4 linked regions of the Mus musculus genome follow. The protein of the gene in region 1 interacts with the protein of each later gene in a pairwise test. Links are inferred from orthologs where the notes say so. Each region holds a gene or a part of one and is shown in the gene's direction. Other genes may lie near its edges.

Evidence for each region.
Region 2: the proteins of Adamtsl4 (region 1) and Lmo2 interact in binary tests that used the Homo sapiens proteins (3 or more experiments, as listed by UniProt). The two-hybrid records come from large-scale screens. The link is inferred for Mus musculus from reciprocal best matches to the Homo sapiens genes ADAMTSL4 and LMO2.
Region 3: the proteins of Adamtsl4 (region 1) and Apol6 interact in binary tests that used the Homo sapiens proteins (3 or more experiments, as listed by UniProt). The two-hybrid records come from large-scale screens. The link is inferred for Mus musculus from reciprocal best matches to the Homo sapiens genes ADAMTSL4 and APOL6.
Region 4: the proteins of Adamtsl4 (region 1) and Top3b interact in binary tests that used the Homo sapiens proteins (3 or more experiments, as listed by UniProt). The two-hybrid records come from large-scale screens. The link is inferred for Mus musculus from reciprocal best matches to the Homo sapiens genes ADAMTSL4 and TOP3B.

Annotation. Positions count from the first base shown.
Region 1 is NC_000069.6:95,684,579-95,689,479, reverse strand, and holds the start of Adamtsl4 (ADAMTS-like protein 4 precursor), read left to right. Parts: upstream 1-1,562; 5' UTR 1,563-1,659; intron 1,660-3,808; exon of another isoform or gene 3,809-3,926; 5' UTR 3,927-4,004; coding exon 4,005-4,024; intron 4,025-4,463; coding exon 4,464-4,521; intron 4,522-4,781; coding exon 4,782-4,901. UniProt on the Homo sapiens protein: Positive regulation of apoptosis. May facilitate FBN1 microfibril biogenesis.
Region 2 is NC_000068.7:103,973,157-103,977,386, forward strand, and holds part of Lmo2 (rhombotin-2), read left to right. Parts: intron 1-2,848; coding exon 2,849-3,064; intron 3,065-4,230. UniProt on the Homo sapiens protein: Acts with TAL1/SCL to regulate red blood cell development. Also acts with LDB1 to maintain erythroid precursors in an immature state.
Region 3 is NC_000081.6:77,043,101-77,048,003, forward strand, and holds the start of Apol6 (apolipoprotein L6), read left to right. Parts: upstream 1-1,974; 5' UTR 1,975-2,071; intron 2,072-2,084; exon of another isoform or gene 2,085-2,240; intron 2,241-2,564; 5' UTR 2,565-2,658; intron 2,659-3,930; 5' UTR 3,931-3,957; coding exon 3,958-4,031; intron 4,032-4,903. UniProt on the Homo sapiens protein: May affect the movement of lipids in the cytoplasm or allow the binding of lipids to organelles.
Region 4 is NC_000082.6:16,876,927-16,881,156, forward strand, and holds part of Top3b (DNA topoisomerase 3-beta-1), read left to right. Parts: intron 1-905; 5' UTR 906-1,020; coding exon 1,021-1,090; intron 1,091-2,030; coding exon 2,031-2,162; intron 2,163-2,326; exon of another isoform or gene 2,327-2,392; coding exon 2,393-2,499; intron 2,500-3,677; coding exon 3,678-3,752; intron 3,753-4,230. UniProt on the Homo sapiens protein: Releases the supercoiling and torsional tension of DNA introduced during the DNA replication and transcription by transiently cleaving and rejoining one strand of the DNA duplex.

The DNA of each region.
Region 1 (4,901 bases):
GCTTGGCTCCATAGCAAGTTTCCTGTCAATCGGCCCTACCGTGGCAGGACCTTGTCTAAATAACAAATAATATCTTTCTGCCTTGATCAGTGCTGGGAACGGCTGGGGACAGAACCCAGAGCATCCTGCATGCAAAGCTCTGCTTCAGCGCATTATTACACCCCCAGACATAGGGCTGTTTTATATACACACCCACTGCCTTGGGATAGACCCTGCTTCCACAGTTAACATGTCAGCTCCAAAGTGATCATTTCTCACTGGCAGGATCTGTTCAAACTAGACTTGGAGACTTAAGGACTTAAACTAGCTTCTGTGCCCTCAGCACAAAGTGTAACATATAGCCAAGAAACTAGGAAACATTAGCCGGGGGCACCAGGGCCCTCTGTTGTTTTATGGGTTGCAAGACAATATGTTGCTACAACTTCTGTATTTGAGTGTCTTGACATTGGTGGTGAGCCTGGCCTTCAATGGCTGAGCCATCTCTCTAACCTTGCTCTGGTATTTCATTGTTGAAACTAGGGTGGTCTCACTCTGTAGCCCAGCTTGCCCTAGAACTTGCTGGATTTCCCAGGCTGGTCTTGAACCAGTGGTTCCCCTCTCTTGCCTCAGCCTCCCAAGTGCTAAACATGCACTACCATTCCCTATATATTCTCCCCCACCCCCACCCCCCGCCCAGCCTCAGCTGGAATTCACCCTGAAGACCAGTCTAGTATCGAACAACCTATACGTTTTTGTTTTTCAAAGAAGTTACGAGGTTGGACAGGCAAGGCATAGGCAGGCCTTTAATCCCAACACTGCAGTAAGCAATAGCAGGTGGATCTCCATGAGTTGAAGGCTGGCCTGGTCTACACAGTTCAAGCCAGACAGGGCTACCGAGACCCTGCCTCAAAGACAAACAACAAACCAACAATCCATTAAAAGACATATGAATAGAATAAAAAGCATAAAAACTGAAAGCTGTTTTCATCCCTTCCCCACCCCTCCTCAGTCATTCTTCCACATGGAGATGGATAAACATTTCCAAGCCTAATATACACATCAAATTCTCCCATTCTACAGAGGACACTGCCGCATTGAAGTTGAAGTGCTCATGAAAGACCACAGAGCTGGCAAGTGCTCAAGCTGAAATTCAAATCCAAATTGTCTGACTCATAATTCAGCGTGCATTCCTCCCGCTAAGCTCCAGGGTGTAAAATTTTATGGATGAAGAAACCGAGGCTCAGAGAGGTCCCTGGCCATCAGAGCCACATGGTTCACTGCCCAGTATGGGAAAAGCGGAGGCGATGGCATTGGCTGCATGGAGGAGAGGGCCTTGGCTTGAGCAGATCTGAGTTTGCTCAGGGCTACATGGGTCTAGTTTGCAAATCCCCTTGCTGGTTCGGGGCTAGCCCAGGTTCTTCGAGGACAGGCTCCAACCAAAAGGAGCCTGCCAGAGTTGGTGGGGTCTCGAGCCCCGGGGCGGGCGCGGGAACCGTGTCCACAGCGTGGCTGCAAGCTCTTTAGCTGTACGGGGCACCCGGGGTGGGTGGTTGAGTCCGGCGCGTGGCGGGCGGGGCACGGGTGGCGTGGGGCGGAGCCTGCCGCGGGCGGCGCTGTCCTGGGGCTCCGGGCCGCGGTGGCCACTACCAGAGGCAGCTGGAGAGAGCGGGCGCAGAGAAGGTAGAACCTCCCCGACCCCCCGCCTGGGCTCTGACTGTCTCAGAACAGCGGACCCTAAGGCGAATTCCTGGGGAGGGGGTCTGGTCCCTGGGACTCCGAGTCCCATCACCCGGGCGAGGGCTTGTGCCAAGATTCCTATTAAGTCACATAGTGAAGTTGGAAAACATACCCAGGACCTCCCTGCACGCCGGCACAGCCGGCTCTTCCCTGAGGGGCTTCGGGAAGATGCGACCAGACGCCTGTACTCTGGGAACGCAGGGATAGGGTGTCCGGGAGGGATGCGGGTGAGTGCTCTTTGCACAACTCAATCTGTTGTGAGAGGTTGAGGGAAAAGACACCTGTTGGGATGTTTGGGGGGGGGGGGATGCCGTGAAAACCCTGGCATTCTGACAGGACAGCATCTCTCCTCTGCTAGCCCAGCCCTTACTAACCCTCCCTCCACCCGTCCACTCTGCATTGGCTCATTTGCCTGAAGTGAGCCTGGGGTGAAGGGGTTAGCACCCTGCAAGTCACTTTCCTTGGTGTCACTGGCCCACAAGGGGGTGTGACCAGGAGCAGCATAGGTTTGTGCTCAGCCAGGGTCCACCGTGACTTCAGGATGCCCACTTCCAACCTCATTTTCCTCACCCTGGGCGTGGAGAAAGGACAAACATACATTTGTGCGGGGGGGGGGGGGGGTGTCGGCTCCTGCTCCCCTATGCAGGGGAGGGTGGGGTGGACTTTTCCAGAGAGGGAGCCAGGCCTGGCCCTAGCCCCAGGAGTTCTCGTCACCCCCCACCCCTCACTTCTCCAGAGAGCTGCCAAAACCAGCTCAGGACAGGATTATGTGTACTGGGTAGACCACGGAGAGGCATCAGGGACAGACTGGAGGAGCAGAGAGGCGCAGAGGGAGGTGGAGAGGGGACCAGCATCAGACAGGTTGTGTCCATCACACACACCCCCCATCCTTCCAGCCTCACTGGGCAGGCAGAGGGCTGATGAGTGGGTTGAACAGGGCCACTCGTCCATCAGGGAAGTCGTAGATTCAGTGGCTGGCTCAACTGAAGAAGGACGTGGTGCCTTTTACCTCCTCCCTAGCTCCAAGAACTCAGCTCAGCCCATTTGGTCTCCTCCTCAAATTCCCAAGCCCTGGGGTCCCAGGGAGGGGGAGCAGGACCTAGCTTTGCCCCCCTCTCTGTCCTTTGCATGCCCTGATCTGGCCTACTTTGGCCAGCGATCCTTGGATTCTTCTCATGGTGCCATTCAAAGGCAGCAGAAACAGTGTTTTTCCTGGAAAGCAGAACTTAGATGGGATGAGGATGTGGGTAGGCGGGGCCTCAAAGAGAAGGCAGGGAATGGAGGATGGGGGTAGGGAGAGACAAGATTTGAGGACAGGTATGAAGACCCCTGCTACCCAGTGTTTACAGCTAGACTTAAGGGTGGACTTTCCAGGGATACGGGAGGGAGAACCTGGCAAGCATGGGCTGCTATGGCTACATCTCTCCTTCTTAGGTGTCCCAGTTTGGCTGAGCATTGTAAGGAAAAAAAAAAAAGCAGAAAACTAGTTGTACATGAGCTAAGTCACCCTGAGCCAGTGCCTTGTGGATGCTGGCACTCATGGGGAGGATAAGTCACTGCCTCTTCTCAGGAGATGAAGCCATTAACCCACTTAGTTTATCCCTTGGACAAAAAAAAATGCCCGGGGCAGCCTGTATGAGCCTTGTCCTCCGTAAGGAGCTTAGTTAAAAGGAAAAGAAACAAATGCTCTTGGGTTCTGTGAGCGGGAGGAGGTTGGTTTTCCTTTTTTTGTTGTTTGTTTGTTTGTTTTGTGATAGAGGTCCCATATCACCCAAGCTGAACCCCTTGAACTCCATCCCAACTGTGGAATTAAGGCTTGTGACCCCACCCCTGGTGCCCGGAGGCCTCTGGCTGGCCCCTCATGGGTGACTGGCATAGCCTGCCTCCTCTAGGCCCTAGAGCTCTAGGAGAAAGAAGCTCTGGCCCAAGCTGCCTATGCACAACCCCTACCCCCACCCACATCAGCCTCCAAAGGAGCTAAGTCCATCTTGGGCCATAGGGAGGAGACTAAACTGAACTAAGAGGCTGAGGTCAGACCCCCCACCCTCTAGCAGATGACAAAGACAACGTCCCTTCTTGCTCCCACCCTTAGGTCCTAAAGGGGTGGACCATTCCTCCCCCACCCCTCCAGGCTGTTGGTGTTGTGCTGAGACAGCCCTTCAGTCCCCCCAGATAGCTGGAGGGGTAACGCCATGCTCCTCCCTCCTCAGAGCACCCTCCAAGCCCCGATGCCAGAGTAGCCACCCTGTCCCCTGCTCCCCAGCCCAGGGGCAGTCACAGGAAGAGCAATGGAATCTTGGCTGGGCAGGTAAGAAAGAGGGGTAGCAGTGGAAAGGACCAGCTCTGTCTCCATTAGGGCAGGGAAGGGGCAGAGGGTAGCGGTGCACACCTGTAACTCAAGCAGAGGCAGGTGGATGCCTGTGAGTTTGAGGGCAACCTGGCCTACAGAGTGAGTTCCAGGACATTCAGAACTCAGAACTGTTACACAGAGAAACCCTGTCTCAACACACACACACACACACACAAACACACACACACACACACACACACACACACACACACACACGACACACGAGAGAGAGAGAGGGGGGGGGGGGGACACACACGCACACAGGAAGGGACTGTGAACTGTTGGAAGGGGTCTGGCAAGTGACAAGGGACGTCTGCTTCCTGAGAAGCTGGGTGGGGGCAGGCAATGTCGTAACACCTCTGGCTCCCTCTGATGTCCCCCACCCCTCGGTGTGCAGGCTCTGGCTGTGTATGATGCTGCTCCTGCCTCTCCCTCAGCCCTGCCAGGATCAGGAGGTGAGCCCGGGACAAGTGAGCCACTGCTACCCTGCCCAGGGTCCCTCCACTGTGCCCTGGCCTCCCCTGTAGGGTGGCTTCACATTCCCACTGGGAGACTTCGGCCCCTTGTATCAGGTTTGGCCCACCCAGACTGACTCCCTCTCTTAGTCTAATAACCTAGAAAAGGCTGGAGTTTGGCCCTACCTGTAAATGTGACCTTGGACAACGAATAACCCTTGAACCTTGAGACACTAATTCTGACCTTCTCCCCTCTGTAGCTGTTTGGACCTTCTCATCAGCTGCCATCAGAGGAGGGCCAGGTCCCTGAAGGCCTCTGGGGACCTTGGGGTCGATGGGCTTCCTGCTCCCAGCCCTGTGGGGTGGGGGTGCAGCGCAGG
Region 2 (4,230 bases), on another chromosome or scaffold:
TGCAATAACATCCACCCTCTGGGCATCAAGCATGATGGGAGTTCTGTGAGTGTTTTTGAAAGCCCACTGTAAAACCTTGAGCTATGCAAAGGATGGAGATTAGATTCTGAATTGGTGCACTTGAATAGGCCAAGGATCTTAGTTAACTTTCAAATATGAGGATGGATGCCTTATATATACCCTATAGAAACAAAGGCTCTAGTAGGAACCTGACAGGGTTTCTCTTTGTAGTTCTGGCTGTCCTGAAACTCACACTGCAGCCCAGGCTGGCCTCAAACTCAGAAATCCACCTGCTTCTGCCTCCAGAGTGCTGGGATTTTTAGGTGTGTGCCACCACTGCCTGGCAACTTCTAGTGTATTATTAAAACGATTTAAGGTCTTAGCCCACCTCACCCATAATTCTGTATACATGAGAGACTGGGGCAGAAGAATGGAAAGTTCCAGGACAACCTGGGCAATTTAGTGAGATCTTGTCTTAAACTTTAAAAGGAAGGAAAGGGTTTTCGAGCTGCCTCAGCTGCTAAAGGTGCTTGCTCTAAGTCTGATGACCTGAGTTTGATTCCTGGAACCCATGTGAAGGGAAGAGAGAACCGGAATACAGCTCAGTGGTTAAGAGCATCCCCTGCTCTTACATGGGACCCAGGTTGGATTCCCAGCACCCATACTGGGTGGCTCACAACCCTCTGTAACCCCATCTCTAGGGTATCTGAGGCCCATGGCCTTCTGGGGCACCTGCCCTTGTGTGCATCTTCACCCTTCCCCCCCCCCCACACACACACACATACAATTATAAATAAAAATAAACCTTTAAAAACAATATAAACAAACAGAATTGAGAAAGAAGTCAGTGGTGGAGCACTTACCTAAAGCGACTAGGGACCTGGGTTTGATCATCAGTACTGAAACAACAAACAAACAAACAACACCTAAAACCTGACTTGATCTTTGTTTTTCTCAAAGAAACTGACCTGAGCTTCAAACTTCCTGGTTCTAAAAGAAGATACTCTTATATTTTGTGCTAAAATGGTGGGTTTGGCATTAGCATTTAGCTAAATATTGACAACGGATGCTTAATAGTCTCCTAGATAGGGTCACCTGTAGATGCTGGAGTGCCCTATAAACACTCATTCCCTGAGTCTCACTGTCCCCAACTATAATGAAGCTGGGCTTCATGGGTACAGGCCAATTACGCCACAAGGTCATTTGGTAAAAGTGCCAAATAAAACTAAGAGACACAGACATATCACCTAGGGTACTCAGGAGGAAATTCCATTGGAGATTTCATAATAGGAATAAAAACCAATTAAAAAAATTTTTATACTAGATTTTTTTAAAAGCAGGTTTTATTTGAACAGTGTTCCAGGAACACATATTACAAATTAACAAGCATTAAGTATCCCCTGTCTCCTATCTGACATCACATTCATTTCTTCCATGCCGTTTTCTCTCAGTAAAGTTATTTCTTACATGTAAAACAAAAGTGGTCAGGTTCCAGGGAGGCAAAGCAAGCAGAAGGCCCTATGTGTGACTTTAAAGCAAATTTTTACATTAGTGTGTGTGTGTGTGTGTGTGTGTTTATCTATGTGCATGGATAGAACAGCCTGCTGTAATTGGCTCTTTCTTTCCGCTGTGTGTGTCCTGGGGACCACATCAGATCATTGGGCTTGGTGGCAAGCACCCTCACCTCCTAAGCATCTTGTGATCCCCTACATAACACTTTTTAAATGAAAGAACACATCCCTCAGGCTCACTGTGAACACCGTGCCTGGATTGAGACTTTGGTATCAATTTAATTGCCTTCCACTCTCTTTTAAATCCATTGTTTGGCCCCCTCCTCCACTCTCTTTACTAATTTGATTTTATTCAAACTACTTTTGCTGTGGTGAAAAAAGTTTGAAGGAAAAAAAAAAACCACATCACCACTATCCTCTGTCTGTTTAAGAGCTGCATCGTGACCTAGATTTCCTGCCAGAGTCATTCAGATCTTGTACTTCTTTGAGACAGTGTCTAACGCAGCCCAGAGCCTCCGGATGATGCTGATAAACTTGCCATCCTGCTCCTCCAGGTTCCACCTCAGGATGGACTGGGTGTATGTCCCCACTTTAGGTGGTACTGGAGAAATGACCGTTGGGCCTCTGACATGTTGGGCTGTCTCTCTACCTATGAAACCGAATCTCCATCCAAAGACTCATGCAGGATGTATGGAAGAATGCAGAACTTCAATCGGAATAATCAGATATTGACGGAACTTTCTGTTTGGGGAAGAGAAGGCAACCAAATATAATTTCGATGGCTTTCTTCCTTCTCTACCTTTGATTCTGTGCAGCGGGAAGGTCTTTGTAGGGTGCATTCAACAGGTTATCTGTAGATTGTTAGCACACTGGGGGGGGGGGGGGTCATCAGATGCTTTGGCTGTGAGCAACTCCTTTGGTCCCAAGTCTATTCTTTGGGATTCTTTGGCAGTGCCTGTGTCCAAAGAAAAAAGGGAGGGAGGGCTGGGAAGATGGAGGAGAGTAGGAGGGGAAGGAGGAAGAAGCAGATTGGATCAGAGGTGCCTGCAGAGATGCTGGAATGTAGTCAAGGGTCCAAGGGCTATCTGTAGGTGCCTTGGACACCTCCTGGTATCCCGTCTTCAGTTTTTCAGATGATAAGGTCTCTCTAGCCCACTCCCGTCTTTATCCAAGGTTGTCTGTGTCTATGCAGTCTGAATTTGGGCGTCCTTTCTCCTTATACTGCTGGAAGGAAATGTAGTGAGGTTCCCCATAGAACCTTGGGCATGCAGTGATTCCTGGGACTTTGTGCTTGTCTCCCTTCAGGCAGCATATCCTAATGCTTGGCTCTTCCCCAGGGAACCCGTGGATGAGGTGCTGCAGATACCCCCATCCCTGCTGACATGTGGTGGCTGCCAGCAGAACATAGGGGACCGCTACTTCCTGAAAGCCATCGACCAGTACTGGCATGAGGATTGCCTCAGCTGTGACCTCTGTGGGTGTCGGCTGGGAGAGGTGGGGAGGCGCCTCTACTACAAGCTGGGACGGAAATTGTGCAGGAGAGACTATCTCAGGTATATCCCTCACACTTCTGGGGCACATCCGGGGTTGGATACATAGTCTCTAGCTCCTGAGGTGTCTGCCTAAGGGGCCTAGGCTGTGGAGGCTGAGCTTCAGCTGCCTCTTCAGAGAAGCCGTGAGTTCTTCCTCTACTGTGGCTATGTTTGCAGAGACACATCACTGCATGGTAAATCACCAATGTTTTTAAAGGTAAGAGAATAAAAAACACGGAATTCAGAATAAGGACAAAATTCTGGGGGTGGGGGCAGACCAAAGGATAGGGTTTGGAGAAGTGTACGTAGGGAAATATCCAGGGAACTAGGGGAAGAGAGAATTCATTTATAAGTTTCTTGGGTGGGTTCTCATTTAGTACTCAATAAGCATATGCATATGTGTAGATAGTCTTTTTTTTTGTTTTGTTTTGGTTTTTGGTTTTTGGTTTTTTGAGACAGGGTTTCTCTGTATAGCCCTGGCTGTCCTGGAACTCACCTTGTAGACCAGGCTGGCCTCAAACTCAGAAATCCGCCTGCCTCTACCTCCCAAGTGCTGGGATTAAAGGCGTGCGCCACCACGCCCGGCATGTGTAGATATTCTTTTGCACAACTCCAGTATTATTGATGAGAACTTTTAAAATAGCAATGTGTCCTTGCTAGTGAGCCCCCAAGCGCTGAATTTCATAGCAGGAGGCTAGCCTTCAGCAGCTATAAAGGTGAAGTCAGGAGGTTTGAGTCACTACTCCATTGCTTCCTAGTGCTGGCCTTGGGCAATGCACACAAGCCTTCACGTCCTGTATGTAAAATGGGGATTGTAATTGTACTTACTTCTAAAGTTAGAATGAAGTACTTGAATTGGTACATAACTTAAGAAATAGGTGGTAGCTGAGTTTATAATTGACAGGTACCATGGTGGGATCACAAATTATTTTCCATTATAATGGACAAGGAGATGGTAACATGGAAGGCAGAAATAGAAAGTGTACAAGGCCAAGCGAGACAGAAACATTTCCCCTGAATTTGTGTGTCCTGGCACCCAATGAGTGCCTTTGTCTGGCGTGTTCTAGCATCTCTAGCTTCTATATTAGCTGCACTGGAGGTAACTCTGTACCCCGTACTGCCAGATCCACTCAACTGTTCAGCTGTCAGTTCTTCGCCATCCTCCTGTGGCAGAGGCTCCACTGAGC
Region 3 (4,903 bases), on another chromosome or scaffold:
CACAGAGAAAGGAGCTTCATTTGAAGAAATGCCTCCATGAGATCCAGCTGTGGGGCATTTTCTCAATTAGTGATCAAGAGAGAAAGGCCCCTTGTGGGTGGGACCATCTCTGGGCTGGTTCTATAAGATAGCAGGCTGAGCAAGCCAGGGAAGCAAGCCAGTAAGGAACATGGCTTCTGCATCAGCTCCTGCTTCCTGACCTGCTTGAGTTCCAGTCCTGACTTCCTTGGTGATGAACAGCAATGTGGAAGTGTAAGCTGAATAAACCCTTTCCTTCCCAACTTGCTTCTTGGTCATGATGTTTGTGCAGGAATAGAAACCCTGACTAAGACACAGGGGATGGTGGGTAACCCAGAACTCACAACTAGCCAAGGTACCAGTGGCTGAGTATAGAGTGTTCAATCACAAATAAGACATCTATGGCATGCCTCCTCTTTGGGCTTCAGGTCAAGTTTTTCCACCAAGTGCATGGGCCAATCGTGTTTAAGTATTCATGTATGTGTGTATGCCTTGGTGCACAGCTGTGTGTGTGCGAGTGTGGAGGCTAGAGTTTGACATGAATAACCCCTTCAGTCACCTTCACTTTAGGTTTGAGACAGTGTCTCCTACAGAGCCTGACTGGTTGGCAAGTCTCAGGATCCCCCTGGCCCCACCTCCCCAGCTTGGATGATATAGGCACAGTGGTTTTTTACTGTGGCTGCTGAGAATCAAACTCACACCTGCACAGCAAACATGTCACCAACCTGAGCCTTCTACCAAGTGTTGGTCTTTAAAACAGTTTGCATTGAAGGATTTCAGGGGCCAGTTATTAATTCTGGTGCTGCTTTCTTCGTGGGGTTGTGACCCAGGTCACACATCTGTATCTGATCCAGTGGTATAGAAGGCATGAGGCCCTTTGTGCTCACAGAGAAGAACAGAGAAGTTTCTCCTAGATAAACCAGGAATCTCATACATGCAGGCTTTTCACAGCAGGAAGAGTTACACCCATCTCTGTTTTGGATTGGAAGTATTTAATAGCTTGATACAGACCTTTGCTGTCTGCAGAGCCGAATCCCCAGCCTCTTCCCAGACCCCTGAGCATCCTATCTCAGTCAGTTAGAACCCATTCTTGTGGAAGAGGTCACAGGTACTTTGCCAAAGACATGTTTGTTGTCATGGAGTTTTGATGTGGTCATGTCTTAAGGTTTATTGTGGTAATTGTCACTCGGAAACTTTTTTCCAAGGTTGTACTATGTTTAGTGATGTCGAAAATAAACTGCTCAGGTCAGATTTCAGAAGTTTGAAGCAGCACAGGCTAACAAGTTGTGTTGAACCGGATTTCTTTCTTGCCTCGTGTGAATCATTACTCTGCAGGCTGGTAGTGGGTTTGCAGACAACCCCTCACCCCCAACACACACATACACACACACACACACACACACACAAAGACAGCCTGGGACAGGAGGGAACCTAGTGGGTACAGCCACTGTGAGTTTATGGCATTTGGGATGTCTGCTGGGTAACATAGCACATACTCTGAGGCATCTCACAATGGCTTAAAGATATCAACACTAGAACGGTGTGCACCTTACATATGGAGAATCAGGCCAAGGGCAGGTTATTCTGATCCACAGTCATGCAAGCATAGATGTCTGTGGCCTTCCAGGTCCTAGCTCAGCAGCAACCGCTTAGTGTGGAGTCTGACTCACAGCTGGGAAGGAGCAATGAAGGGTTCTTTAGCAGGGCTGGGGATGGAATTCAGGGTCTGGCACACGCAAGCGCTCTTACCCTGAGCCACGCCAATGGCCAGTCCTCTGTCCGTACACCTCACAGTGTGTGTAAAGGAAGAGAGGAAAGTGAAACATTCGAACAGTATACTTCCCAGCAAGGTCCCTATTCTGGGAAATGGTTTTTAGAAGCCAGGCTGCAGCTTTATGGAATGATTCGAGGTTAAGATAAACCAGTTTCATAATTCCGTTCCCGCCTCCAAGAGCCACCACATTCCAGCCATTGGCCCAGTTGGTGAATGTTCCCATTCTGCCCTGATACTGGTCACAGTGCCTGCTGGACTGATTGGAGGACTCTTGGAGAGGTGAGGTTTGAGCCTGGAGTCATCCTATCTCTGAGAGACAGCGGGGAGGGGAGGAGAGGGCTGCTTCTGGGACCCTAATCGACCAGGAGAACAAGAAGCCAGTCACTGCTGGAGGAAAAAGAGCTGACAGGGGCTAACAAGGCTGTAAGCTCAGGCAGCTAGGAACTAGGTAGTTGGGCAGGGTCTCGGGTTCAGCTCCTAACATATGACAGCTCACTGGGAACCTCACTGGCTCAGATGTGCCAATGAGAGAGAGGCACTACCTTCTTATCTACCCAAGTTCTCTCTTTGAAAAGACTTTGGTTTGTTTTGTAGCCTGGGTGTAATTATGAAAAGTCCAGAGATGATGGGTCCTTAGCAAGGAATTCCCTAGCTGGCTGTTCCCCAGACAGAGACGCTTCCAATGGCCAGCTAGATTCTGTGGAATTAAAAGGCTCCTGGGTCTGCCTCTCTGGACTGTGTCTGCAGTACTGAGGTTGTCTCTCTTCTGCAGGGAGGACAGACAGGGCTTCTTCCCTGCCAACCACCCTAGCCGCTTGGACCTTGGAAGAGAGCACGGTAATCCTTCCAGACATCGCCGCAGCAAGGTACGTCCTGGTCTGCCAGCGGCGGCGGCTCTTGGCAGGGGAAGGCCATTATGGGTCAAAGGTGAAGTAATCAGGGCTGGACACTGAAAAACACCCAGATGGCTGGGGTGGGGTGGCCTCTGTGTCAGAGGGCTTGCTAGAATGTGAGTAGCCTGGGTCACTCCCAACAAAGTGTGCGCAGTGGGGGTGGGGTGGTAGTGGTGGTTGGTGTGTGCAGTGGGGGGCACAAAGGCCTGTCGAGCATTCTTGAGTATTCTCCTCAGGCAAACTTGTCACCTCTGCTTTCTTCTCCTGAGCCGTGACTCTGGGTGGCTCAGTTGCTGCATGTCCTCTGTCTTTCTCACCTGGTTTGCAGCTTTAGTTGCCCCCTCGGGTCTCCGGCTGGACACTCACTCGTCCCTTGCATACATCCCATCCGCAGGATGGATAATGGCGCCTTGAGACCAACCAGCAGCCAGCCTCCATCATGCCCCACAACATATGAGCACTCTGCAGCCTTTGGAACGGTGCAGGGGTGGTCAACAGAACAGTTGTTCACCCCCCAGGCTTAACATTGCCCTTAGCTCATGTATTCCCCATGTGCACTGGGAGAGTCTAAGGGTTCTAAGAACCTGGTCCAAGCTGTCACCCATTCACTCCAAGGATAGCAATGCTATTCTTCCTGAAAGTCCTTCTGCTTCCTCTTCACGACCTGAAAACCATCATCCTCACCATGGCCTGCACACAAGGCCATCATGTCCCTAATATCCTTGCAAACAAGGGCTCTGGGGACCTTGGATCTGATATCTGGTCTCTGACAGTGGAAAAGGTGGCTGGCACAGAGTTCTTGTGCTCTTGGGATTTTCTGGGCTCTCCTGAGCATCCCTTTGGGTTTTGCATGTGAGCTACAAAGCCATTGGCTGAGCTGTTCCCCAACCTCCTTCCCTCAGCTGGTAAGACAGCTCAGCAGGTGAACGTGTCTGCCACCAAGCTTGAGTGCCACCAAGCTTGGTGATCTGGCTTTGTTCTCCAGGACTCACACGGTCGGGGGGGGGGGGGGGGGGGGGGAGGGGAGAGCCATTTCCAAAACTGTGCTGAGTGCTTCCTGGGGGGGGGGGGGTGCTTGCTGCAGATGGGCTATACCTTAACTAAAAAGCTGTAGTTTGCAGATATCATGGTTAGTATAAGCCATGGCGTGGTATGATTTCAATTCTGCACAGTCTAAAATCCTTCCTTACTTGAATTTTACAATGTTGCATGCTATTGGCAGCAAATTTGCTTTCTATATTCCAGTTAGAAGACAAGCTGCCTCATAAGGACATGGCTTTGGTGCAAACTCCAACCCCGAGCCATCAGACAGAGGAGGACTATGAGGCTGATGCTGAGTTGCTAAGGTAACCCAGGGGGTGGACTTCTTGGGAAGGGCTGGTTGTATTGAAGGCAGCATGTGTTCTCTCAATTAGGAATAACCACTTGTCCTGTCCACTGTTCTATTGCTGTGAAAAGACACCACCACCAAGGCAACTCTTAAAATGGAAAGCGTTTAATTGGGGCTTGCTTGCAGTTTTAGAGGCTAGTCCATTACCATCATGGTGGGAGCCTGGAGGTGCCCGTGGCACTAGAGTAGAAGCTGAGAGTTTTACATCCTGATCCACAAGCAGGCAGGCAGAGAGAGATAGAGGCCTGGAGAGAACTCTTGAAACCTCAAAGCCCACCCTCATTGACACACTTCCTCCAACAAGTCCACACCTCCTAATCCTTCTGATCCTTTCAAACAGTTCTACTCCCTAGTGATTAAGTATTTAAATATATGAGCCTATGGGGCCATTCTCATTCAAACTACCACACCACTCCAGGATCACTGTGTGGAAAGAGGGATTTATCTTCTCAAAAGTCTCCATTATGCAGCACTCTGGAGACAGGGGCAGGCGGATTTCTGAGTTTGAGGCCAGCCTGGTCTACAGAGTGAGTTCCAGGGCAGCCAGGGCTATACAGAGAAACCCTGTCTCGAAAAACCAAACCAAACCAAACCAAACCAAACCAAACCAAACCAAACCAAACCAAACCAAACCAAACCAAACCAAACCAACCAACCAACCAACCAAACAAACAAACAAACAAAGTCTCCATTATGCTGAGGAAATGTTGTTTCCTTGAGGAGAAAATACTCCATGAGGTTGACTGTAATATTTTGGAGAGTTAAGTAAACATTTAGTCAAATGTGCAGTGTTGGGCTCCAAGGACTATGGCAAATGGAGCAGAGACA
Region 4 (4,230 bases), on another chromosome or scaffold:
TTCCTTCTTGTATCCCCTTCCCTACTTAATCCCTCAATCCTAGTTTCCTCTTTGTCTCTCCATAACACTGTTCTATTTTCCCTTCTAAGAGATGATTTCACAGGCAGGTATCCCAACAGCTAGTCCAGGGGCTTGGGTCCACACACCCTGCCCCAACCTATGAGTCCAGGTCTGTAGGTCCCAGCATGTTTTAGTCATAGTCAAAGTCATAGTCACTGCTGCTTCTCTCCATAGAGCCAGACTCCCACTGCCTGAACAATTGGTCAGTGCTTACTTAGCATTCTGGTGGCCCTGGGTTCCATCTCCATCACCAACCTAAGGAAGAAAAGTACATTCCTTGTCCTTATCATAATAATGGGTTTCCTCGTGACATTTTCATACGTGAATATAACGTACTTTTTTTTGGGGGGGGGGGGGGGTCAAGACAGTTTCTCTGTATAGCCCTGGCTGTCCTGGAACTCACTCTGTAGACCAGGCTGGCCTCGAACTCAGAAATTTGCCTGCCTCTGCCTCCCAAGTGCTGGGATTAAAGGCGTGCGCCACCACGCCCGGCGAATATAATGTACTTTTTATACTCATCACTGACTGCCTTTTTCGGCCCTATTCTCTGTGATTGCCTTCCTCTTCCTAACTGTTGCCCTCTGCCTTCTGAGTGCGTAACCCAGTGAGTTCCGTTAGGTTATTTACAGGATCCTGGATACTTCAGCAGTAGCTACACCACTGAAGAAAACGTTTTTTCCTTTCCTCAGCAATCGTTAACCACACTTAGCTACGTGCTGCCTGGACGAAGGCACTCCATAAGCACATCACACCTCCCTCTAGTCCGTGCCTTCTCTGTCCCTCTTCACAGAGTTCTCTGAGCATTGGAGAGATGATATAAATGTACTGTCTTTTCTTCCCCTTAGGAGTCAGCATTGGCAGTCGTGTTGAGCTACAGAGGAGACATTTCTAAGCTTTTTTATTGCTGCTGTTCTGGGTCTGGGTGCAACGGTCTGTGGGCCCTGACAGCCAGGAGCAAGAATGAAGACCGTGCTCATGGTAGCAGAAAAGCCATCCCTGGCACAGTCCATTGCCAAAATCCTCTCCCGAGGTAGGAAAAACAAACACTAGGCTGTTTGATTGCTTTCATCTATAAGCAGAGTCTTTTGTGCTTTTTTGATCATTTCTTTTTCTGGTGGGTTCAGCTGGGATTGGCAGGTTTCAGGAAGCACCTTATTAGCAAGTCTCCTGTGACATGCTATGTCCACATGTGGAAGTCCCAGGGCTGAAGCCTCCAGGAAAAGTAATGATGTACAAAGTGCAGTCATTGTCAGCATGCTGGGCTTAGTTTTTGCACCACTAGATACTCACTACTATCTGCTGGGCCCTGGATGTGGTTACAGTTACATTCCCTACATCTCATGTCACTCACAAGTGGCCAGTGACCTCAGAGCCAGGAAGGTAGTGGAAGATTTGCCCATCAGGATCCACTCTGCTACTGAGGTGGTACATGGAGGGAGGGCCCTCTAAATAGAAAGAGTACTTGGATGCTGAGTGGCTATCCAGCAATGGCAGACATCCACTTTGACCTCCTTTTACCAGCTCTTGGAGGAGGAAGAGCCCCTAGTTAGGCTGAGAATACACACTCCAAAGGTCCAGGGGGATCCAGAAGGCATCATCTCACTTCCAAGTGCCAAGAGTGTTCAGCTGAGGAACCATAGTGTAAGATATAATAACCTTAAAATCTAAATAAATAAAGGTAGAATTCAAATTGAAAATAGAAATGGAGTGAGACCTGAAGAGTCTCCGCCTCTAGTTCCCAGGAAGTATGGGACTGGTGTGAATTTCTGTGAAACTTTCATAGATGCTTCCATCCCTCAGCACCATTAAGCCACCCAGTACCCACTTATCTGCAGTGGGAGCTAAGGGATGTTACCAGTGACCACTCTGGAGAAGGAGAACTCGTGTCCCCTGACAGTTAGCATGTAGGCTCAGGGACCCACAGGGTTATAAGTCAGCCTCACAGTTGTCTGTGTGGTTTGCCTCCCTAGGAAACATGTCCTCACACAAAGGGCTGAATGGGGCATGTTCAGTGCACAAGTACACAGGAACCTTTGCTGGCCAACCTGTCCACTTCAAGATGACGTCTGTCTGCGGTCATGTGATGACACTGGATTTTCTGGGTAAGATGACCACTCTCCTCCTGTCTCTGTCCTATTGAAAGGAACACCGTACAGCACTACCCAGGGTCCAGTTAGACCCTGTTCCCAACAGATCAGGAAGTGGTTAACAGCTGGGTAAGTTACCCGTCCCCATCTCTGCATGATACACCCTATCCTATTCCTAGTTGTGACAGCTGCAGAGGCCAAGCCTTTGTGAAGTGTGGCTCAGTGTCTTTGGATACGGTTTACAGGGAAGTACAACAAGTGGGATAAGGTGGATCCTGCAGAGCTCTTCAGCCAAGCTCCAACAGAGAAAAAGGAAGCTAACCCCAAGCTGAACATGGTCAAGTTCCTGCAGGTAAGGGAGCATCTACAAGCCCACCGAGGAGCCCATCTTATTAAAAAAACAAACAAAAACCAAAAAACTGGAAACGTCTAATCCTTCCCTTCCTGAGTAATGTAATGTAAGCTGCTACCATGTGGTTAAAGCCCTTGGAAGCTATCTTTGGTTATCCAAACCAGCCCAGTCAATATTGCCTAAGTTATAATTTGAAAAATAGGTCTTAGGTGCTAACTGGTCTGATATAACATCCTTGACGGCTCATGGTGAGATTACCGGCACCAGGGAGGCAGAGGCAGATGAACCCCTGTGAGTTCAAAGCCAGCTTGGTCTACACAGACAGACCCTGTCTCACTCAATAAGAAAAAAACAAAAATCTGAGAAAGTGTTTCAAGAAATACTTGTTTACAAAAAACAAAACAAAACAGAACAAAACACTGGAAAATAAAGATAAGTTTAAAGGAAAAACAGTAAAACCACATGATCCAAAACAAGCACTGTTAATACTGAACTGTTTCATTTCACTCTTGATGCTTATGTCATACGGAGAGGAGGAGGGCCAGTGAGAGTAGATGAGGGCGAGAGAAAATGATGGGGTCGAATGTACTAGAAGTATATTATGTACATGTTTGAAAATGTAAAAAGTAAGGCCTCTCCCTCAGGAAATTAAGGAGCACACACTGTATTTTGTGACTATATAATAAAAGTAAAAATCCTTATCCTAGGGGTTAGATGGCTCAGTGGGTAAGAGCACTTGCTGCACAAACATAAGATCCTGAGTTTGGATCTTAGCACCCATGGTCAGTGCTGTGGAGGGCAGAGACAGGAGGATCGCTGGGGCTTGCTGGCTAACCACGTACTTCAAGGTTCGGTGAGAAACCTTGTCTTAAGTGGACAAGACAGAGACTGGTAGAACAAGGTACCCCACAGTGTCCTCTGACTCTGCCCCACTTATGCACCTGCTTGCCCTGCACATGCTCCACACCACACGCAGAAGCATAGACAGACTGTAAATACAATTTTCTGATCTAACAGTTTGATAGTTCTGAACCAAAACCTTTTCTGAGTCTGAGACAGCCTCGCTGTAGACTGCTTCTTGCTCAGCTCCTCGTACTGGAAGCCCAGTACCTGGTTCCATCTCCTGTCCCCAAAGGGGAATGTCATAGGGTTGATTGTCAGTGTGTGCTTTGTGGCAGGTGGAGGGCAGAGGCTGTGACTATGTTGTGCTGTGGCTGGACTGTGACAAGGAAGGGGAGAATATTTGCTTTGAGGTGAGTGTGGAGACCACTCTGGTTTTCTTTAGACCTTTTCCCCACCTTCCCAATCAGAGTTTGTCACACTATTCCTAAGGTTAACATAAGGGAGTATAGGGCTCAAAAAAACATCTCCCAACCCCTTGATTTCAGAAAATCTGTGGCTACTTTAAATGCATAGACCTAGAGGTGGAGAAACGCCTCATTGGTTAAGAGCACTTGTTCTTACAAAGGACACAGGTTTCACAACCATCTGTAACTTCCAAGGTATCTGATGCCCTCCTCTGAGGTCACCAAGCATGCACATTGGGCACATACAGACAGACAGAACACTCATACACATAACATGAAATAAATGAATCTTTTTTTAAAAATGCATAAACTAGGGCCCACAAGATGGGTCTGCACATGAAGGTGCTCCCCACTAAGTCTGACACCCTGAGTTTAATCCCCAGGGCCCCACATGGTAGGAGGATGCAAACTCATGAGAGCCTCA